Linked DNA regions of Tamandua tetradactyla. The protein of the gene in region 1 purifies or fractionates together with the protein of each later gene. This does not show direct contact. Links are inferred from orthologs where the notes say so. Each region holds a gene or a part of one and is shown on either strand. Other genes may lie near its edges.

The links.
Region 2: the proteins of GLMN (region 1) and CUL2 purify together in Homo sapiens (co-immunoprecipitation; 4 studies listed by BioGRID and IntAct, counting the BioPlex papers as one, with this or other methods). This does not show direct contact. The link is inferred for Tamandua tetradactyla from reciprocal best matches to the Homo sapiens genes GLMN and CUL2.
Region 3: the proteins of GLMN (region 1) and CUL9 purify together in Homo sapiens (affinity purification with mass spectrometry; 3 studies listed by BioGRID and IntAct, counting the BioPlex papers as one, with this or other methods). This does not show direct contact. The link is inferred for Tamandua tetradactyla from reciprocal best matches to the Homo sapiens genes GLMN and CUL9.

What each region holds. Positions count from the first base shown.
Region 1 is NC_135337.1:32,017,006-32,024,982, reverse strand, and holds the start of GLMN (glomulin), read right to left. Parts: upstream 3,271-7,977; 5' UTR 3,066-3,270; intron 1,894-3,065; 5' UTR 1,867-1,893; coding exon 1,828-1,866; intron 1,399-1,827; coding exon 1,273-1,398; intron 1-1,272. Other genes in the region: putative RNA polymerase II subunit B1 CTD phosphatase RPAP2, read left to right, coding at 3,659-3,731, 4,424-4,469, 5,652-5,708.
Region 2 is NC_135327.1:216,105,161-216,112,488, forward strand, and holds the start of CUL2 (cullin-2), read left to right. Parts: upstream 1-3,969; 5' UTR 3,970-4,297; exon of another isoform or gene 4,298-4,674; intron 4,675-5,619; 5' UTR 5,620-5,689; intron 5,690-7,328.
Region 3 is NC_135331.1:100,755,206-100,763,169, reverse strand, and holds the start of CUL9 (cullin-9), read right to left. Parts: upstream 3,196-7,964; 5' UTR 3,167-3,195; coding exon 2,569-3,166; intron 2,024-2,568; coding exon 1,869-2,023; intron 1,548-1,868; coding exon 1,032-1,547; intron 1-1,031. Other genes in the region: SRF (serum response factor), read right to left, coding at 7,942-7,964. UniProt on the Homo sapiens protein: Core component of a Cul9-RING ubiquitin-protein ligase complex composed of CUL9 and RBX1. The CUL9-RBX1 complex mediates ubiquitination and subsequent degradation of BIRC5 and is required to maintain microtubule dynamics and genome integrity.

The DNA.
Region 1 (7,977 bases):
TTTTTTACTCTAAATCATCTGTGGAAGAACTACATGATGTTAACTAGAGGCAAAGGAGAGTGTTAAAAAGTTCTCTGGTAGCAGGCTGCACAGGTCTGAATCTTGGATGTGCCATATAAAAGCTGTTACCACTGGGCATGCCATTTAACCTTTGTGATTCTGTATCCTTATCTATAAATTAAATTTAATAGAAGTATCTACCCTACTGGATTCTAGAGAGGCTAAATGAATTAATAGATGTAAAGTGCTTAAATCATCTGGTATATTGAAAATACTCAATAGATATTAGTTGCTATTATGTTTATTATTATTAGCCAACAGCTAGGTGCTCTCAAAGGTTATCCTCTGAGAATACAATTCAGAAAATCAAAAAGGGTTACAAAAAATGAAATTTACTTTATTTTGGGCTACAGAGTTACCATAAACATATATCAAAAACAAATGTATTAAATAAAATGTCTAATTTTTCTAACAACTGACTAAGAGATTCTATAACAACATGTAATTTAGAGTTTTAAGAATCCCCCAAATCCAATCAAGGTGCTCTGGATATAATCACAGGCCAGTATGACTAGATTGTGATATTAACCAAGAAAACTTCTATATAAATACACCCCACTATAAATTAAGAAAGGGTATGTTATTAGAAAGAAGACAGATGTCCTTGTACCCATAAGAAGTGAAGTACAAAGATACAAAGTTTGGCAGTGTGTCTCCAACATGGTCTCCCAAGAAAAAGTTGTCCCTGATCCACAAATAAGATACATTTTCACTGTGGAGAATGATTGCTGGATGATACTCACCAGTGATGTCATTCACTCTCCTCTTGGTCTAATTTTATGAACACAAAATATTGTTTTGCTAATAATTTGGTTTTCCCTACACATCTGTGCAGACTGCCAAAAAAAAAATGAATATGCAGCTGGACTGATATTTATATTTCCCAACGTAAATTAATAATGCAAATGCCCTCTCTGATCTCCTCATCCAGAAGTAATCCCCGCTACTTCCCAAAGCCCTTATCTTTTACTTCTACTGTAGTACTTATTTCTTCTGCCTCCTTATTGTTAGCTGTTTACATGTTTCTCTCTTCCACCAGACTGCAAGCTTCTGAAAATATGACTACATTTTTTGTTTTCCATGGTGTACCGTAACTTTGTTCCTAACTGATACTTAAATGTTTGATGAATAAATGAACAGACAAATAATAGCATCATGTGAATATTCTATTCCCAGTAAAGACTGAGAAGTACATGCAAAGACTGCTCTTACCTTATTCTTTTCATTTTGAATAATTTCTAATAGTTGGTCAGTATGTCCTTCATCTATACACCTTTGGCCTGCTAACTGAAACAGGCTAAAATCTTCTTCTTTAAAATTTTGCTCTTCTAGGATTTGCTGGGCAAAACCAAAACACAAAAAGGACAAACAAAAAATTAAAATTCAATATAATAACCATTTGACTTATTTTTTCTCTCTGAAAAAAAGGAAATCTATTTTAATTCTAGATAAGTTGCACAAAAGTACATATATAAAAAATAGGATCACCATAATAAATACTTCAATGATCTTGAAATCCACCATACCAAAGAAATCTATGAAAAGACCAGTATTAAAATTTATAAAGGTTATTTAGACAAAGATGCCACCAAAATAATCTAATCTGCCCTCCTGTCCTCATGCTATTTATTCACAGGTCAAAAAAAGCAAGGATTAAAGAAGATAAACAAGTTGAGTGACCTCAAATGTAATTACAACTAATCTGTGCCCTTCGTGTAGCTTAAAAAGGTACTTATTTTTACAAAAAGAAATGAAAAAATTACTTACACATCTTTTTATTATGGATTGAAGCTCTTCCACAGCCATTCTTGGTTATTTTTCCTTGTTTTGATGCTGAAATGTACCAATATAAAATACACTAAATTATCACTGATGTTACATTTCAGTACTCATTAACTATGTTTTACTATTCTGAATCGTTTCATTTTAAAATGGAAATTTTAAAAGCTGAAAATGTTATTATTCAAAGTGTGTTAGACTAAGAAAACAAAAATCTATTTATATAAAAAGCTACCTTTAAGTTTCAGTTAGACATTGCTACCTATCATAACTTGCCAAACCCATTCCAGCCAATCATTAAGAACATCTAGGACGATATATAAGATTCTACAAGGGTTCCATGCACTAGTGTAACTTTCCAGAAACCTACAACCTCCAGATGGGTCCCTGGGCCACATAAGACCTGAACCCTAGAGGGCTCAGCCTCTCCAGAGTATCAGCTAGTTCCATCTCCCTACCCCATATTATTGACAGTCCCTTCAAGGTAACATGAAAAAGTTAGAAAGGCCATAGCCCAAATAGGCCTAAAGAGTGGGACAGAAAAATCAGCGATGGTGAAGTCACACAGAGAAGGGAGGATTTAAAAAACTAATATGACTGCTGAATCATTATATCAATACTTCTTTTCATCTCCAGTATCTTAGAGCAGCTAGAAGTAAAAACCTAAAATTGTGGAATTGTAACCCATACCAAATTCTGAAATCTGTTCTACAACTAATTGCTGTGCTGTGCTTTGAAATTTATTGCTTTCTTTGTATAAGTGGTATTTTTCACAAAACAGAATTAAAAAGTCTGTTGTGGTGATAAAAAGCCTCTTATATTCTGGAGCAGCTAGAAGGAAAAATCTGAGAGGATGGTATAGTAGCTAATGACAAACTATGGGATCTGTCCTGTAAACTTGTTGAAGAGTGCTTTGAAAACTATTGCTTTTTTCTTTCTTTGCTTTGTATATACATTATACAATAAAAAAAATTTAAAAAGAAAAACAAAAAAAACCTCCCGTTGCATCTTTTCAGTATTCCAGGACCATCTTAAAGATGAGAAACAAAAACAAAACAACCCTTTAGAGTACTTCCACTGGGCAAGACAAGTAGCAACTATAGCAAGGGTTTTAATAAGACAAATTATTTCTTCACTGAAAATCTTCCAAAAAGTGGAAAACTAACAGTCATTTTTTCCTTTTCTAATGTCCCATTTGTCAAAAATACTGGTGCAACACAACTCACTGAGAAGATTGGAATGCTCCCATCCCAAGTGTGGCTGGGGCATTTCTCTTTAGGACTGCAGTCCCCCAAATTCAGTAATTAAAATCTCTTCATCGCACGGAGACAGAGCAACCGGCGGCCTTCGAGAAAACACTGCTCCGGTCCCGCAGGCCATCTTTTCTCCCGGATGGCAGGCCTGGCCCAAGCCCTGCAATAGGGTGGTCGCCGGGTCCTCACCGTGCCGCGCTCGAGCGCGGATAAAAGCTCAGACTGAGTGCGGAGGCATCCAGGGGAAGCCATTTCTCCCTACCACTATCCGCTGCGGGGTTCGGGCCCCACCGCTTCACGAAGCCTGGCTTGTCCACGGCGCAGGGTCCTGCCTCACAGCCCACCCACTGTCCCCGGCAGCCGGGGACTTCCCGGCGCCTATACTTACCAGTCGGCCCTCTAGCCGTCCGAGCGCCCTCCTTCACCTCCTCCCGCCGCGTAGGCCGCTCGCCGGTCCCGCCCCGGCCGGCTCCGTCTCCCCGCCCCCTCCGGCGCTACGCGAAGGGAGGCGGAGCCTGGCGGAGAGACGCCAGCGCCGGTCTCCGATTTTCAGACGACGTATCCCAATGGCTGACGGGGCCTCGCCGCTACCAGCTGGCCGCAGGGCCCGAGCTTCCGGCACTTCTCGAAAGGCCGCAGGTAAGAACGAAAACCGCTTCCCATGTTTGGACCTTGAGAACAGGGCCCTGACAGTTTCCGACCGACGCGCACGGGGCTTCCCGAACCCAGGGGAGAGGGTCTGCGGGACCGAGAGACGGACAGCTTCCCTTGTTCCTGAGTGTTCCAAGATTTTTCCTACAGGCACACACCAGTGTTCCGGGATTTTTTCCCCTCGTGGGCTTTGGCCCCAGCTGTAGAGGTGCTGGGAGCCTAGCGCTGGCGCTCGCCGGGCTGTGTGCAGCTGGCTTCGGCCCCCAGACCTATCTTCCTGGCAGACGTGCTGCAACTTTCCTACTCGGGTTCCCTGAATTGTGGGAACGTCCCCTCTTCCCCCAGGGAGCGAGCATTTAGAGGATGGAGAGAGAGTTCTCCAGAACTCAGATTTTCAAGAGTGCTTAACTAAGCAACTCTGATACAGTGAAAATTCAATCCCTAAAAAGATAGTTTTAACTAAGAAAAATTAGGGAATAAATTAAGTTTAAAAAAGAACAAAAAAAATTTGGACTACATTCCCATATCTTACAAACAAGATTGGAAATGAAATGTGTAGAAAAATAGGAAAGATAGTCTGGTGTGTTTGAGTTCTGTAAGTACGAGTCTGACCTGTACTTAGTGTGTTTGTGCATACTTGGCCCACTATGTTTGTTTTTTTTTTTTTTTTTTAAATACAGGATCTAAACTGACAAGTGCTTTGAAACAAGAAGATGCTTCTAAAAGGTATGAGAACTACTTGGGCAACTACATTCACTTATCTATATATCTCATATTAATTGACATTTTTTAAAACAGTGAGTGCTCCCATAGAGAAAATTGTTATGAGGAAAGATGCCAGCCTGGGAAACACTGTAAATTCCCACATTCATTATTATATCCCTCTACTCCAGGCTTCAAGAAAACCAAATCTGAAACTTTTACGTTGATGACTGAGATATCAGTGTATGTAGAAAGATGTCTATGAAACATCTTAACCAGGTACTCCTTTTATTGGTACACCAGGGAGTCACTGTCCAAATTTCTCTCCTTATTATTCCAAGAAGCCTTTTCTGTTCTTTTTTTACATCAAGTCTGGATTTTTGTAACAAAGTTGTCATGTACTGTGTCTTGGCTTCTCCTCAAAAACACAAGGGATTATCACCTGTAATAAAAGGTTTCTAGAATAGTAGTAGTCTATGATGATGATGATAAAAATATATATCTATCATTTCTTTCTTTGAGAAGACTCACTAAGTTGTATTGTCTTTTAGGCTTCATTTATTCATTTATTTAAGCATTCATTCATGTTAGGCGCTGCTGTTATGATGTTGAATAAACAGTTCCTAGCTAGTGGAAGAGAGTGATACCAATTAAATGATCACAGATAAATAGATAATTACAAATTGTGTTAAGTGCTATCAAAAGAAAAGACTATGATGTTAGAATGAATGAAGAATGAAAGTCCATTTTAGCCAAAGGTTGGTGGGGAGAGTGGCTGTAGGTTTTTTGAGAAAAAGTTTCTCTGAGGGCGTGATAAGCTGAGATAAAGTTAAACAAAGAAAACACAAGTGAGGAGAGACTTCTAGGCTGAGGTGACAGTATTTCTGAAACCCTGAGATGAGAAAGTGCTTGACCAGTTAAAAAAAAGAGGCAAGATAGCTGGGGTAGTCTGAGCAGAGAAGGAAAGGGGCTAGGAAAAGGGGAGAGAGGCAGGATCCTGTTCATATAGTATCTGGAAGCCATGGTAAGAAATTATATTATTGTTCTAAATGCAAATGAGAAAACTGTGTAACAGAGTGATGTGATTCAAGTTTTTGTGTTTAAAATTTTATTGTGGTAGCATAAATTTTATCTTTAAGAAATGTAAGATTTGCAATTTTAGCTACTTTAAGTGTTCAATTCAATGACATTAATTACATTTTCCAGATTATGCTACAGCACCACTATCTTTTACCAGAATTTTTCATCACCCAAAACAAGAAGGTCTGTACCCATTAAGCAATAATTTCCCCATTCTTACTTGGTGCTCTAGTTTGCTAGCTGCTAGAATGCAACACACCAGAGATGGATTGGCTTTTAATAAAAGGGGATTTATTTCGTTAGTTCTTCAGAGGAAAGGCAGCTAACTTTCATTTGAGGTTCTTTCTTACATGGGACGGCTCAGAATGATCTCTGCTGGCCTTCTCTCCAGGCCTCTGGGTACCAACAACTTTCCCCGGGGTGATTCCTTTCTGCATCTCCAAAGGCCTGGACTGAGCCGCAGTTGCTGAGATGAGGTGTGCTGAGCTGCTTGGGCTGTGCTACGTTGAGCTTTCTCATTTAAGCACCAACCAATTAAGTCAAACATCATTCATTGCAGCAGGCATGCCTAGCCGACTGCAGATGTAATCAGCAACACGTACCATTGGCTCATGGTCACAGCAACAGAGCTAGGTGCCTTCACCTGGCCAAGTTGACAACTGAATCTAACTACCACACTTGGTAAACCACTATTCTGCTTTCTGTCTCTGAAATCATACAATAATTGTCCTTTTGTTTCTGGCTTATTTCACTTGGTATAATATTTTCAAGGTTTGTCCATGTGGTAGCATACATTAGAACTTCATTCTTTTTTATGACTATAATATTTCATTGTATGTATATACCACATTTGGTTTATCCCTTCAGCTGTTGGTGTAAACTTTGGTTGCCTTCATCTTTGGTGGTTGTGAAAAATGGTGTAATAAACATTGGTATACTGATATCTGTTTGAGTTCTTGCCTTCAGTTATTTGGGTATACACTATACCTAGAAGTGAAATTGTGGGACATATGATAATATATTTTCTGAGAAACTGGCAAACTGTTTTCCACAATAACTGCACCATTTTACAATCCCATTAACAGTGAAAGAGTGTTTCTGTTTCTCCTTGTCCTCTCAAATGCTTATTTTTGTTTTTGTTTTTTGACACTGGCTATTCTAGTGAGTATGAAATGGTATAGCATTGTGGTTCTGGTTTGCATTTACCTAGTGGCTAATGATACTGAGCATCTTTTTGTATGCTTATGGCCATTTATTTATTTTCTCTGAAAAAGTGTCTATTCAGGTTCTTTGCCCACTTTTTGAGTTGCTTATCTTTTTTGTTGTCGAGTTGTAAGAATTCTTTCTATTCTGAAAATTGAACAGATATGTGGTTTCCAATATTTTCTCCCATTCTGTAAATATTCTTTTTTATCCTCACAATAAAGTACTTTGATAAGCAAAAGTTTCTAATTTTGATGAGGCCCCATTTATCTATTTTTTTTTTCCTTTTGTTGCTTATGCTTTTAGTGTAAACTCTAAGAAACCGTTTCTTAATACAAAGTCCTGAAACTGTTTTCCTCTAGGAATTTTATAGGTTTGGTTTTTATATTTAAGTTCTTGATGCATTTTGAGTTCATTTTGTATATGGTGTGAGGTAGGGTATGAGTAGGGTGCTTTTCTCAGCACCATTTGTTGAAGAATTTGTCATTGAAAGAACTTGCTACCCTTGTCATAAATCATTTGGCCATAAATATGAGGGTTGATTTCTGAACTCTGTTTGATTCCAGTGGTTTATATTGTCTGTCCTTGTGCCAGCACCATACTGCTGTGATTGCTGTGGTTTTGTAATAAGATTGAAGATCAGGAAATATGAGTTCTCCAACTTCATTCTTCTTGTTCAGCATGATTTTGGTTATTTGGGGCCCCTTACTCTTCCATATAAATTTGATAATCGGCTTTTCCATTTCTACAAAAAAGATTACTGGGATTGTGTTTGAATCTGTAAATTGGTTTAGGTAGTGTTGACATCTTAACAATTTGTAGTTTTCCCATCCATGAACACTAATATCCTTCTATTTATTTAGGTCTTCATTGATTTATTTTGACAATGTCTTATAGTTTCTGAGCCTAAGTTCTTGGTAAGATTTTTTTTCCTATTTGATACATTTTTTTAAACTTTTTTTATTGTATAGTATAACATTTATACAAAGCAAAGAAATAAAAAGCAATAGTTTTCAAAGCACTCTTCAAAAACTGGTTACAGAATAGATCCCAGAGTTTGCATTGGCCTACCATATGATCCTCTCATATTTTTCCTTCTAGCTGCTCCAGAATATGAGGCTAGAATGCTTAAATACTTTTTTATCATCACAACCGACTTTTTTATTCTTCTTTATTTTGTGAACAATAACATATATACAGAAAAGCTGTAGATTTCAAAGCACAGCATCACAATTAGTTGTAGAACATA
Region 2 (7,328 bases), on another chromosome or scaffold:
ATTTGGTTGGTCTGCTCAGGTAAGTGGATTTCTCAATAAATCCCAGAGTACTGTGGGCAATGAATAAAGAAATATTCGCAAAGTCCGCTTGGCAGACTGGGGAGAAAGGAGGAAATATTCAACTTCCTCATTTGGAGAATTTCTGATACTCTTGCAAGCAGTGGAGACAACCAAATCAATAGGCCAAGCCCTCAGTCTTGGGGTTTGTTCCTATGGAACTTATTCTTGCAAGGGATAGGCTAAGCCTACTTAAAATTATACCTAAGAGTCATCCCCAGAGAAACTCTTTTGTTGCTCAGATGTGGCCTCTCTGAGCCAACTCTGCAAGTGAATTCACTGACCTCCCTCCTACGTGGGACATGACTCCAGGACGGTGTAAATCTCCCTGGCAACGTGGGACAGAAATCCTGGGATGTGCTGACACCTGGCATCAAGGGATTGAGAAAGCCTTCTTGCCCAAAAAGGGGAAGAGAGAAATGAGACAAGATAAGATATTCAGTAGCTGAGAGATTTCAAACAGTCCAGAGGTTATCCTGGAGGTTATTTTTATGCATTATATAGGTATTCTTCAGTTTATGGTGTATTGGAGTGGTGGAGGGAAGTACCTGAAACCATTAAGCTGTGTTCCAGTAACCTTGATTCTTGAAGATGACTGTATAGATATAATGTTTACAAAGTGACTGTGTGACTGTGAGAACCTTGTATTTGATGCTCCTTTTATCCAGGGTATGGACAGATGTGTAAAACAAAATGGATTTAAAAAAAATAGGGGAGACAAAGGTTAGAATGAATTGAGTATATGGAAATACTAGTGATCAATGAGAGGGGTGAAGTGTATGGCATGTATGAGTTTCTTTTTTCTTTTTATTTTCTTCTGGAGTGATGCAAACGTTCTAGGGGATGATCATGATACGAATACACAACTATGTGATGATACTGTGAGCCACTGATTCTGCACCATAAGTGGAATGTATGTGTGTGAAGATTTCTCAATAAAAATATTTGAAAATTATAGCAAAATTAAAACTAAAAATTGAAAAATAAAAAATTAACCTAGCAATTAAAAACGTTTATTTCTTCCTATGTGTAACAGATGAGATACATTTTCCCTGGAATCTGTATTTTTAAGTTTCCCTACTGATAATATTGATATCGAAACTGTATTTGATACATGATAACTCTTCTCAAAGTAGGTTTCTCTACATGGAATCTAGCTGTTTCATAACGTATAAACCCTTAACAAAATTCAGACATTTCAGGCTTATTTCCTTAGCAATCAATGCTGACAGTACATCAAAATATCAATGGCTTAGCTAAGTGTTTGCATTGTTCAGTTTTAGTTTGAGAAATCTATATAGAAGGTACAAGACATGTGAGAGCTTTCCAATACATTATTCCAACAATAAAGCTGGCTCAATTTTCTGGCCCAATGTTTACTTGGAGAAAATATAAATTTGGACAGACTCAGAAATGGTTAGCTGTACCGGTAAAGATGTGTCCAGGATTCCTTATGTCTATTAATAATTTGAAACCCTTCCTTAATTTTCATGAAATGGCCATAATTCTAAAGACGACTTCATATGTCAATGATGCAATGACTCCCCTCAATAGGAAAATAGAATACAGTAGAAAACCAGAAGACCTACGGGACCTGTTTCTTGCTAAATTCATCAGTAGAAGCAAATTTCAGTAACAATGCAAAAACAAAGACTAAAAAAGCTCCTGTATTTATACATTTAATAAAAATTTATTCACATTGTCTTACAAAAATAGGGATACAAAATACCAGTGTAAATACATGTGAACACTCAACCAAATGATTCCACGCTGACCATTAACTCACTAGGAAAGCATATGCTTACACTGATCCCTTCAGAGTCACCAAAAATGTCTGTGATTATCAACACTTAACATGAAAATACTTTGTTTTACTCATTCATATCAAAACCATTTAAATATGTCTTTTTAATTGTATTTGGATCAATAAGTAATTCTTTAAAAATCATTTTTATTAATACTTAATTAGCATTTATTGGTCAAAACATTGTTTGAAATTTACCTACCTCTGGGAAGGGGGAATTTTTTTTTAAGTTACTTTTAAATTCAAAGATTTAAAGGCTGCTATTATTTTATTATGTGGAAAGAAACTTGTAACCCACGAAAGAGGATCAACAGTAGTAAAAAAATGTAGCATCCACAAGGAAAAAAATTGTAACTGTTTGAAATAAAAAGTTATTGATCAGTCTTGGAGATATTGTGTACACCTTTGTTTTTAACAATACAAAACAGCTGCAAATATACTGAGATCATGATCTAAAATCGTATTTCAAAAATCATGACATTAATCATAGGCATTTGAATTTGAGTTTTAAACTACATATTTTCAGGTTTTCTTGGTGTTAGTTTTTAATAACTACAAGACAGAGAACACGAATAATTAATGTAACCTAATACAATTTTCATACCTGATCTGCGCCTCTAGGATTATATTCAAGGGAAGGTGGTTGCACTCCATCAGTTTAGCAAATAAGCAGAAACTTGATACAAATCACGTAGGTAAGCCACACTGTAAGAAAGGCTCTTAAATTTTTACTCAGACTTCCGGGCTGACCATGTAAGTCAAAATTTCTGAAAATTTGACTGCATTATTTAACACAACGCAGAAAACGTCTAAGTGGTTGCCAATTTAGAGCTCTGGTATACACGTAATGGATAGCAGGATGAAGAACTATGCTGAATAATGCACTTATTCCCTACTCGACAGGTTCTAGGAACCTTGCTAGGTGACCCTAAAAGGGCAAACATCAGAACAAGAGAAACTGCGCTTTCTACCAGCTGGAACGGATTTGTTCCTCCTTCACAAGCAGTATCTCATCAGACCTATCGTGTCCGGACTCAAGAGATTCAATCGCGATGCCCCTCTTACTCATATTTCAGAAGAAATGGGTCACGTCAATTCATTTCTAGACCGAGTACATAAAACTGAGACGAAGATGTTATTAATCGTCGGCTGCGGTAAACAAAACCAACATTCGCAATTCTCGTTTCTTTTTTTTTTTCTTTTCTCCCCCTTTCCAAAGAGTGAGAACCGCATTCATGAGAGCAATAAGGCTTTTCCGACTTCTCCCAAGTTCAGAAGAAGTCGAGGAGGACTTAGAAATCTGCCGAGCCCGTTTCAGGCCTAGGAGAGTTATCTGATTAAAATTAAAGCAACGAGCGAGCCAACTGGAGGAACGAGGTGGACGAGGGCGCTAAAGCGGACGCGCTGCGCATCTCCACAAGGGCCAGGGGGCCGGGCGAGGTCGGCCTGCGGAGGCTGCGGGCTCCAGTCCTGGGCCGGGCGGCTGGTGGCGTCTGGCAGGAGGCGCCGGACTCGGAGCGGGAAGCCCCCGGGGCCGCCCGGCCGCCGAGCTGGGGACGAGCCACGTCTGGGGCCGCGGTGCTCTCGTCGGGGCTGGTCTTGCTGGCGGGCCCGGAGCACGGCCCACCTCGGTCCCGGAGGCCGCTCCCGCTGGCGACCGGGTTGGACACCGGCCGCCGCCGCCGCCGCCGCTTCCTCGGCGGAGCCCGGAGCCCGGGTGCCCGCCAGCCAACCCGCCGCAACCCCAGCCCTCCGGGCCGCGGACCCGGGCTCCGCTCCGCCTCCTTCCTCCGCCTCCTGCTCCCGCGTCGCCGACTCCTAGGTCTCTAGGTCCGGGGCAGACGCGCAACTTACCCGCCGCGATGAGTTTACGTAGCGGACCTCGTCACTGATTACGGACGGGAGGAGGTGGGGACGCCGAGCCGGGCCCGCCGCTCAGGAGCAGCGCTGCCACCCAGCAACCCCGCGCTGGCGCCGGCGGCGGACCCACGTAGCCCCCACGTCAGCTCTGATGCGGCAGCCGCAGCCTCTTCGCCTAGTCGTCCCCAAATGTAGCGCCGACGCCGACGGAACCGCGTCCCCGCGCCCTGTCCTCCCCTCCCCCACTCGGCGACCGCTCTCCCCGGGAACGCCCGGAGGGGAAGTCCAGGCCTGAACTCCGCCCCCTGCCGGCCGCCAGCGGGAGTGCGGCGCTAACAATCCAACAATTAAATGGAACGGAAGGGGGGGGGCCCTACGCCGCGGCTGGGAGGAGGAAACTGACCTGGGGGTGGGGAGGAAGCCCGGGCGGGGGTGGAGCCGAGGGGCGGCGCTGGGAACCGGAAGCACCCCGAGCGATGCTGGAAAAGTGACTTGTTGCACACCCGCTAGCGGCCTACATTTGTGTCGAGAAGTCATCTTTTTTCCCGGCTGGCAGTCGCTGCAGCCCCGGTCAAGGTCTGTGGCCATGGCGGCTCGGTCCCGGGTCAGCAACACGTTGTGACAGGAGCGGGCTTCGGGAGAGCGCCGCGTCTCCCGCGACCGGTGACTGGTCCACCGTCCTGAGGAACGTCTGGGGCCTGCGGGACCCCTGCTGGACGCGGACCCCTCCCGGAAGTCCGGCTGCCCGCCTTGTCCTAGCTTTCTGCCGCTTCCCCGGTGACCTTGGCACAAGTTGCTCTTCCCAGTGTTTCACTGTCGCAGAGAAACGATAGTCCGCACTAAAAGATGTGACGGAGGAGAGTAAGGTTTTCTCTTAATAAGCAAAACCCCTGCCTATAAAGGAGGAGAGCTGAGTTTTCAGCCAAGTGGAAATCTTGGGCTTTCAAGTTAAGGTTTGTGAGAGGAACGTTTCTAGACCTGTTGTAAACTATACACCTATTTGTATATACTTAATAGGATACTACGTCGTCTTTAACACTGGTGTAGTAGGCTGTCCAAAATTTAGAATATTGAGCCTAAAAATAAACCGTTTACACTTAGGAAAAAGTAAATTCCTAACAATGATTGAAAACCCAACTCTGTGATAGTCAGGAATTCACGCTGGAAACCTCTGTCAAGGTCAACCCCTTCGGTACACTCCTTGAAGAGTTGCTGTGAAAATAAAAGCATTTATCAGTGTAGTGCAGGCAGAGAAGGGAAGCTTTGTGAGATATTGGGGAAAGTCCGTGCAGGTTCGGAAAAATGCTGAACTCTTGAGCGGTAGGTTTTGACCAATCTGGGCCAGTAAACTAAGCAGAGGTAAGAGAATAAGTACCCGGCAAGTTCATTTCCCTTTTGGCACAGGCAGAATTGTGTAGCAACAATGCTTGTCCCCACCTTTTAAATATTAATTTCTTATTGAGGAACATTAGCAAATTAATAGAAAGTCAAAATAAATACAAAGTTAACCACATCCTGTTTGAGTGTGTAGTTAGACGAGGCTGACACAGAAAATGTATCCATAAGTAATCAGTGCAGCTCATTTTAGCCCAGAAAAAAAATGGGTCATTAGGAGGAAAGAAAACTAAAAAGGGCTGGACTACTAAATCCTGAAAAATTATACTATTCATTGTTATGAAGGTTGATCAGGTGATAGAAGTCTAGTTAAAATGATTTAGGAGAAATTGTGATAATTTCTGTTTCCGAAAGACTGTTCTCCACCTACTTGATTATTCCTAAATTTCCTTAATGAAGGATAAATTATATAGTTAGATTTTGTTAGAGAAAGTGCGTAAAATGGAAGTATGGAGTGGTAAGTGACATATACTAAGATGTTAATGTCATATCGAATCCTCAAGGGCAAAGGAAGAAAAGTCCGGAAGACAGTGCCTAGAATCTCCAGGGAGAGGACAGAAGTTATCAGGAAAGGTAAATGCAGTTTCCTATTGCTGCTATAACAAATTACCACAAACTTGGCGTCTTAAAACAACCCAAGTTATTATCTTACTATTTTGTAAGTCAAATGTCTGACACAGTTCTCACTGGGCTAAAATCAAGGGTTGGCAGAACTGGAGGCTCGTAGGAAAGAATCTGTGGCCTTGCCTTTTCAGCTTCTAGAGGCGGCCGGGATTCCTTGGCTAATGGGTTTCTTTCTTCCTCAGTCTTCAAAGCCAGCAACAGTTGGTAGGAGTTTGGTTCATGTTACCATCTATTTGATTCTCTCCTCTCTCTCCTTCTTCCACTTATAAAGACCTTTAAGATTATGTTGCCCCACCTTGATAATCTGGAGTAATTTCCCCAATCTCAATGTCATTTTATTAACAATATTAATTCCATCTATAACCTTAATTTCCCTTTGCCACCTGTCTTTGTTTGCCAGGGCTGCTGTAACAAGTACCATAGACTAATTGGCTTGAACAACAGAAGTCTATTGTCTCATGGTTCTGAAGGCTAGAACTCTGAAATCAAGGTGTCATCAGGGCCATGCTTCTCTTAAAGGGAAGAATATCCTCCATATCTCCCCTGGCTACTAGTTTGTTACAGAATAGCTCAGTCTCTGGCTCAGTCACATGGTCATTCCTCTCCCTGTCTCTTTCTCTGTGTCAGAGTTTCCTTGCTTGTTAGAATACCAGTCTGATCAGATTAGGAACCACCCTACTCCAGTTTGGCCTCATCTTTACTAATCACACCATCCTATTTCCAAATAAAGTCATAGTTACAGGACCAGTGATTAAAATTTAAACGTCTTTTTAGGGGACACAGTTCAATCCTTAACACTACATAACTGTTATAGTCACAGGTTATAGAGATTAGAATGTGAACATTTTGGGGGACCATTTCTCTGCCTACCTGCAGGAAAGGATTCCAAAAGAAGCTTAAGTTCCTGAAGATAAACTACCCACCTCTCAGTATCATCTCTTCCAAAGCATTCAACCATTTGATAAGAAATTTTAATAACTGATGTTTCACTTTCCCATATCTATGCCTAAGTAAAGATTATAGTAATTTTTTTTTGCATGCTGTATGGTGGGGGTAGCATTTCACTCTTTTTCCATGTGACTATCCTGTTATTGCAGCACCACTTGTTGAATGTGGGGAGAGGGATAGGGTGGGGGGTGGAGCAGAAAGTGCATGGGCTGGAAATAAAACCTGGGTCTCCCACATGAGATTGTAGTAATTTTTAAAATGGGATATCAGGGATTAAGAAGAGCAGCAAGGTTATATTCTCATTTTCTACCATCAGCCTGGGTAGTGCCAGTGTCCTCATAATTTGCACTGAATAGAACCTAGTCTGTATCCAAGACATATCTTTGTTCAAATCTGATTTTCATAGATCACTTTCAGAGAACTGTGTTCATAAAAATTGTCTCTATCATAGAAGAGCAATTGTATCAAACCAAAAGAATCAAAGCCATGGCAATTTCTTGTTTTCAACATCTATTTTACAATGTTCTGTTTACTACCATAGCAGAAACTATGCCTTTATTTTTAGCATCTGTGCTGGTTTGAAAGGAAGTATGCCCCCTAGAAAAGCCATGTTTTAATCAAAATATCATTTTTTGGTAGA
Region 3 (7,964 bases), on another chromosome or scaffold:
TCATGATAAACTCTGGAATCTGTTCATAGCTACTTACTGAAGTGTGCGTTGAAAATGATAGCTTTTTTTCTTTCTTTGCTTTGTACATATATTTTACGACTAAAAATGTTTAAAAAAAATTTAAAAACTAGAAAAAAATCATCTTTGCCATCCTAAGCGAACAATGAGTTGACACTGAGTATACTGACAAAACTGTGTAACTTCCACCACTATCTATTTCCACACTATTTTCATCATCCCAAACCAAACTTCATACCCATTTAGCAGTAACTCCCCATTCCATCCTCTCTCCACTCTAGTAACCATATTCTGCTTTCTGTCTCTATGAATTTGCTTATTCTAAATACTTCATATAAGAGAAATCATCCAGTATCTGTCCCTTTATCTCTGACTTATTCCACTCAACATGAGGTCTTCACGGTTCATCCATGTTGTCATATGTCTCAGAACTTAATTCCTTTTTACAGCTGAATAATATTCCACTAGATGGCTATACCACCTTTTGTTTATCCACTCATCTGTAGATGGACACTAGCTTGTTTACACCTTTTGGCTATAGTGAATAATGAAGAATATTGGTGTACAAATATCTGTTTGAGTCCCTGCTTTCAATTCTTTTGGGTATATACCTAGGAATGGCATTGCCAGGTCATATGGTAATTCTATGTTTAACTCTCTGAAGAAACTCCAAACAGTTTTCCACAGTGGCCATACTATTCTACATTCCTATCATACCATATTTACATTCCAATGTATGAGTGTTCCCACCTCTCATCTCTTTCTAACTTTGACAGCCTCTGCTCCAACTCTCCCACCTAACCCACACCCCATTGGGGGCCTTTCTCCATATATCAGTTTCTGCTTTCTGGGTTTGTGTCTCTCCACCACACCAAATGTTCTCAGCCCTCCAAATGGCCCCTCTCCTCCCTGAGGGGTCAACTGCTGGCCCCCTTTTACCATGCCAACCCCCCTGCATGGCCCCCACCCAAATGACAGCCTCAATAGTATCCCATGCCCATGCGCTCACTCGCCTGCACAGGAGGCACGCCGTTGTTGCTCTGCCGGAACTCACCCTCGTCGCCTGCGCTAATCTCCTCGTAATCGTCCAGCATCCGCACTCGCATCCCCGGCGTCAACGTCTGCTGCACGTACTCACCATAGCCACTGCGGCTTGAGAATTCACAGCGCGGGCGAAAAGCCCGCCCTTGCCTTCCGGGGGTGCTGATGATGGTGGGGAGTAAAAGGCTGGGGCCCGAAACGCAGGGCTGAAAGATGGATCGGGCCGGCCGGGGAGGCGAAGCGCCCTGTTCACTGAAGTTCCGGGCCCAGCCCATGTTCCGCACCAGCTCTGAGATGAGGTTGCCCACAGCCAGACAGAATTCCAGCTTCCGCTGAGCACGGCTTTTCTCCCGGATGAACTCCTCCCTCGCGGGGGAGTGGGAGCCTCCGTCTCCAGCCCCTGGCTCTGGATTATTATTCAGCTGATCCAGGAGGGAAGTGACACACAGGTAGCGCTTCACCAGGGAGAAGAGTAGCTTTCCTGGTATCTGTAGGATATAATCCTTGGCCTAGGTTCATCTCCCAGCTTTAGCTCCTCCCCTTTCCTCTCAATGTCATCCTCTACAGAAAAAAATAAAGGTCTCATCCCTAAGCCTGTAGTTCTCAAACGCTGGTTTGTGTAAGAAACAAAAAGGGAATGTCTTAAAAATACAGATTCCTGAATTTTAATCTCAGAGATCCTAAGAAAATCTGGGGTAGAGAGGGGTACATAAACCTTTACTTTAACAAGCTTCTAAGTAGTTCTGGTGCTGAGGTACAGTCCTGAACCACCTTTCAGATGCCCTAGGCCTTGTACAGAGCTGGGGTACCTGAGGCAGATGAATGCCCTCAAAGGCCATGCAGTGTTCTTCAGACGATGTGGTCTCTGCAAACAGCTCCAGCAAAGTATAGCGGCTGTCAAAATCCATGTGCTGCTCAATGCCATCTTGCTGGCTCAGCGACAGAAGGACATGAGCCCGACTCCCTGTAATCCACACCCAAACCATATCTTCTCTTCAAGCCCCAATACCTCCCCCCCTGCTTTTTCTAGTCTCTACTGCCTACCCTAGAGGGCTTCAAACTTATTTGAGACTGAGAACCACAGTAAGAAGCACATTTCACATTGTAACCCCAGTACAAGCAAGTGTACATACAAATGAAATACACATTTCATGCTACAGAGCTTATCCTTATTAAGTGCTGTTCTCTGATATTTTACGTTTCTTTTAAAATCCACTAAATTGATTTCACAACCAATAAATCTCAACTCACAATTTAAAAAATGCAAATTTACCCCATTCTCTTTTTTGCCATTGCACTGGAAAAGGACAGATAAAACCAGGTGCTATCACTTCATCCTGTTTATATAGTACCTGCAATAGCCTATTAATTTATACTTTTCCTTTGCATTGAATTGATATTCGCCAAATACTAGGTTCTCTTACAGAGTTGGGGAAGCTCTTCTCTTTCTGTTCTTACTCCCTGTAGCCCATTCTCTCCAATGTTCTCCTTCCCCCGGCTGACTCTTACCAGCATCATGGGCTGCCAGAGCCTGCAGCATCTTGCCTGCACTCCGACGGATCTGAGGCTCAGGGTTGCACAACATCTTCATGAGCAGGTCCAGAGCTCCCGTTTCCCTGAAGACCCCAGTGAGGGGCCCAATGCTGGCATAGGCACTGAGCACATGGATGGTGTGGAGCACAGCGGCAGTGAGGCTAGAGGTCCCACCCTCTGCCAGTTGCCTGGCAGCCCTGCATACCAGTGCCCGTACATCAGCCTCCATCTCTCCCACTGCCACTTCATCCAGGCCTCCTGGATCCCTGGGAAAACTTCCTGAAACCCCAGCAGGCTCATGCTGAGGTCCCTTAGATAGCACTCTTTCGCCTAACAGCATGGGGCAGTTGGCGTAGACCTCAGGGGCTGACAACCACATGAAGATGTGCTCTGCCTTGCCTTCGGAGTCCACACCCACTCTGCCAATTTCTTCACACCTCAGGACAGTCCATCGGATGAGGTATTCAGGACACCCATCATGTCCAGGCCGCTGTCGAAGGAGTTCTTCAGGATATGCCTGCAGCTGGGACCCCAAGGGCACCATGATGTCCCCGGCACGCCATGTCCCCACCATCCTGACCTCCTGAGACACATAATGAGAAATATAAAAGCAGTATAGGAAAGGGATAAGAGTACCTGGAGGGGCAAGAGTCTAGAGACATGGAGGGGGGTAATTGGTAGGCTGCAGGTAGAATTCAGAGGCCAAAAAAAAGGGCCAGATATAGGATGGGATAAATAGTTGAACACACTCTGGGACTTAATTATAGGAGAAGGAGAATGGAGTAAGGACAGCAAAAAGGACAGCAAGAGGATATCCTGCATTTCTTAAAGAAACGGAAATTACAAGAGAATAAGAAGAGTAAAAGACAAGGTAACAGAAGAGTGACAGTTAAGCAGGACAGTCTAAGCAGAAGAGCAGGGTGGCTAAGGGATACAGATCAGGACTAAAAGGATGGCATGAGTGAGCAGGAAGGACAGCAGCATGTGAGACAGTGGGGCCAGAACACGTAAGGAAAGTTGATATAGAGGAGGGGCAGGACAAGTAATATAAATGAAGAGGCAAATGTGGAATGTGGAATATAAAGCAGTAGGCCTCGGGAGATTCAGAAAATGGAGATGGAAAGAAGGCTGGGATGTGGGAGCAGATGGCTGGATGGGGAGAGTATATGAGTATTGTGAGGGTGGGGAAAATGGACCTAGGAATCACATAAAAGTATGGGAGAAAAGGACCAGGTCCCAGTTCATACTTACGCTGTATCTAAGTCAAAGGGTGGTAACCATGGGATTGAGACAGTAGGGGATGACTCCAAGAGATGGTGGGGTATTATTACAGATTTCGCTCAGAAGAATGCCCTTTGAACTCTAGCTTTTTTGCTTTCCATCTACAAAGCCTTAGACAAGTTATTTAACCTCTGAGCCTGTTTCCATGTCTGCTAGATGGTGATAATATGTATACCTACCTCTTGAAGTTGACTTAAAGATTTAATAAGATCTCATATGTAAAACACTTAAAACAGTGACCAGCAAGTAGTGAGCACTCAGTAAACAACCTAATATTATTATTGTTAGAGGGGAAGGTAGGGGCAGTCATCAGATAAACTGAGAGAGGTGATAAGCCAGAAGATTCTAGGAGAGTAGGTGATGCTAGTGATAGGGATGAGATATGAGTGAAATGAAGCAGGTGTAGGGGTAACAGAGAATGGTGAGAATGAGAGGGGAAAGTAAACCCAGGCAGAGAAAAGGCAATTTAGGCAGGAGTCATGTGGGAGTATAGAACAGAAGATAAGAGTAGAAGACAGGAGTGAAGGGGAGGGGGAAACAAGGGTGTGGGGCAAGGTTCCAGTTAGCACCGGGAACCAGTTTGAACGGGGAACTCTGATGTGATGGGCTCCTGATTAGAGAAGGTTGGAGAAGTAAAACAATGGGATAGGCCTCAACTGGGACGAAAGGGGGTGGGGAACACACCCGTAGGGTGGGCCTAGAGTAGGACCAACAAATTGATGTGAGCTGCAAGGACGCGGGGATGAAGCCAGCAGGTAGACGCAGGCAACAAGGTCAAGCCCAAGCTTACAGACAGTGGGGGCGGGGAAGAAATGGGCACAGGTTTGGGAACGGGGTGCGGTCCGAGATGGGTGACAGAACCGAGCTAGTCTCAACGAGCAAGACCAGGCTCTCTCCGTCAGCCCCACAGACAGTGGGAAAGGGGCCTCGAAGGGGACTGGGGAGGGATAGGGAATGGGGCCGGGTAGAAGCGGAACTTTCCTCTCACCTCCCACCTCCCGGCTTGGCGCTAGCAGGAACCCAGCGGCCGGTCCCGCAGTCCTGGCCCCGCCTCCCCAGCAGCTCCCTTCCGGGTCACAAAACGTGTGCACGCACGGCCGCGCATCTACGGGTCCCACCGCGGCCCAGAGCCGAAAGCTGCGTTAGAGACTGCGAGTGGAGCATGCGTGGTGGCCGCAGGCGGCTGCACTGGGGCGAGGGAATTAGCGGGGCAAGTGCCGCGTTGCAGGGATAAATGGGGATCTGGGGTCACGTTGCTCCTCCCTCTGCAGAGAAGCAGAGCAGACAGCTCCTTCCATCACAGCAAACGTTAAAATGCCTTTCCCCTTATCTGAGTCTGCCTTCCTCATCCTCCAACACCCATAGTAACATCCGCTTATCTCCCTCAAACCTAGTAACCTAAATCACTGACCCTTACCCACACTCCAACCCTAGGGCTGTCCTTTGAGGTTTTTGTAGGTCACGTGCCCATGTGTTGCCCACCCTCCTCAGTAATACCTTGGGATGGTTGTGTCACTTTTCTTTTTAATTAAAATGTTGGCCTAAGCCCCCAACAAAGCCAAGTACAGGGAGAAAGTCCCTTGCCCCCAAAACTGATCCTTAAATTAACTGGACAGGGTCCCACCCAAACCTACCCCTTAACATTTCAGTTTTCATCAAGCAAAGTTTGCTTCTCAGCGCACAAACTTTTTGGAGTTTGCTTCATGTTCGCACCTCCCTCCCTCCCTATGTGGAAAAACAGAGCCAAAGACCCAACAGTCTGTGCACAAAAATGATACATTTATTGAAAGAGTATTTTTTTTTAATACAAAAGAAAGCTCTGTACATAGGACTGTGATCATGTCCACTATTCCTGGGTCAGCATCCCAGGGGAAGTAGAAACCACTGACATACACACCCACATTCACACATACACACACTCAGGTACACATACACACACAAACATACCCCAGAGCCACCAAGGAAGGGAAACACCAAGGGTCGCTGCACATATAAATGCCACCTCATCCCTGACACACACGTTCTCACAAGGCCACGCTCACACAACACACATTAGAAGCACTTTGCCTGATTCATTCACTGGGTCTGTCTTTTGTGGGAAGGAGAGTAGGAATTCATCAGAGTCTCCTCCCATGGGTGGGGGAGTGGGGAGTGAGTGAGTGGTGGTGGTGGAGTGAAACAAGAGCAGAGAAAGGGGGCTGGGCAGTTACAGACCTGAGACCCAAACTCCCCAATCTCTGGCCCCTGCTTTGCGATGACCCAGGTTGGTAAGCCACCAATAAGCCCCAGCTATCTCCAGGAGAAAGCCCAGAAAGGTGATTTCCATCTTAGCACCCCAAATTAGGGTAAGACAGCAGTGGGGGTTATAGGTTAGGGGGTTCTCAAACATGTTGGCAGATCATCCCCTTGACAACTAGGCTATGCGTAAAATCTTCCCCCACCCCTTCACCTAATCACAGAAGCAGGTTTATTCTTACTGAAGGCAGTTGTAAAGTACTAAGAAAACTCCACTCCAACTGCTGTCATGTTTCTGAAAAAGCTCTGTTTCTGGATATAGGTGGTGAAGGCAGGCTCTGACATAGGGTAAAAGACCCTCCCCCATGCTGGCCCACCCTCAAGGTCTACCCCAAAGAGGGTAGAGATGGGTGGCGCACGGCCCCTGTACAAATTACATAAATACTGAGGTTACACTTAGAAAAATAAAGTCATTTTCTTCAAGGCTTTTGTCTTAATTTAAAAAAGTTACAGTAGCTGCTCACTCCCTGGGAGAGCTGTCCATTTCTGGCTCCCCTATGGCTGCACTCAGCCTAAGAGCTCTCTCACTTCTTCTGACCCCCAATCCTGCCTCTCACCCCCTCCCAGACCCCACCCTGCTCACTGCAACTTGGGCCCCAGGCAGCTGCAGGCCCGGGGAGCACAAGGCTGCAATGCCCATGCATGTGGCACAAATGAAGTCAGTTGCCTAAACCTGACACCCTCCCCCCGACCCCAACATTTGGTCTCCCTCTTCCCCTCCCTAGCAACAGCCCTATAGGGCAAAAAGAGGCCCAGAGCTGTGGGTCACCCTCCCCACCCCATCGGGGCACGGCCTGAGGGCCCCTCCCCCGGCTTTCTCCTGGAAATAACCCAGGACCCGGCCATCCCATCTCCCCTCCCACACTGGTGGGCTCCAAGCTTATGGGGTGGCTCTGTCCCCAGGGGCCCAGTCAGTTCTGGGGAGCCCAAGGGCTCTCCAGGGAAGGGGAGTTTGGGCAGGGAGGGGGACGAGAAAAACGCCATAAAAAAAAGTTAAATATTTTAAAAATATATATTTATAGATTTGTTTTCACTTCGTCTCCTCAAATAAAAAGTTCAGAATCAACTTTAAGTAAAGCAGCTGGGAGGAGGGGGGGGGAAAGACAGGGGTTGGGGGAGAAGGGAACATTGGTGGTTCCCTCCATCCCAGAAGCCCCTGGAGGCCTAAGGGGAATGATGAGGCAGGGCAAATGGCCCCAGGAACCTGCCCAGTGCACAGGCCCAGCTACTCAGGAGCTGAAGGGGCAGAGGGTGGTGGTATGAGGGAAGAAGCCCCCGTCTCCCCAGCTGGCTCCCTGAGGGGCAGTGGCAGGGCTCTTTTAACCCAGCCCGTGGCAGACACAGTGCTAACCTGGGGTCAGCAAGGAGGCTGGGGAGAGGGCCCCAACTGCTTCCTCAGGGGAGGACACAGTGCCTAGTCCCACAGAAGGCCTGTGTGTGGGAAGGTGGGGCACGGTCCCATTGGGTATAGCTAATACTCATGGCAAACATTGAGCCAAGCTGGCGAGGGGAGTCTGAGGAGGGAGGGGAGCCCACCATCAACAGAAATGGGAGGTGGAGCTAGATGGAAGGGAGGGGGGGGGAAGGACAGGGTGGAGAGCAGGCAGGCCCATGTCTTTGGCTGGAGTGAGAGGGCTCAGTTCTGTGGCTACCCACTCCTCCTCCCCGCCTCCCTCCGCGGCCTGTCAACGTGTATGTAAAGAAAACGTGAAAAGGCAACAATAAATAAGTGGTGCCATCCCTTGGGCCATCTGTCCAGGGCGGCAGGGCGGATCAGTCACTCTTGGTGCTGTGGG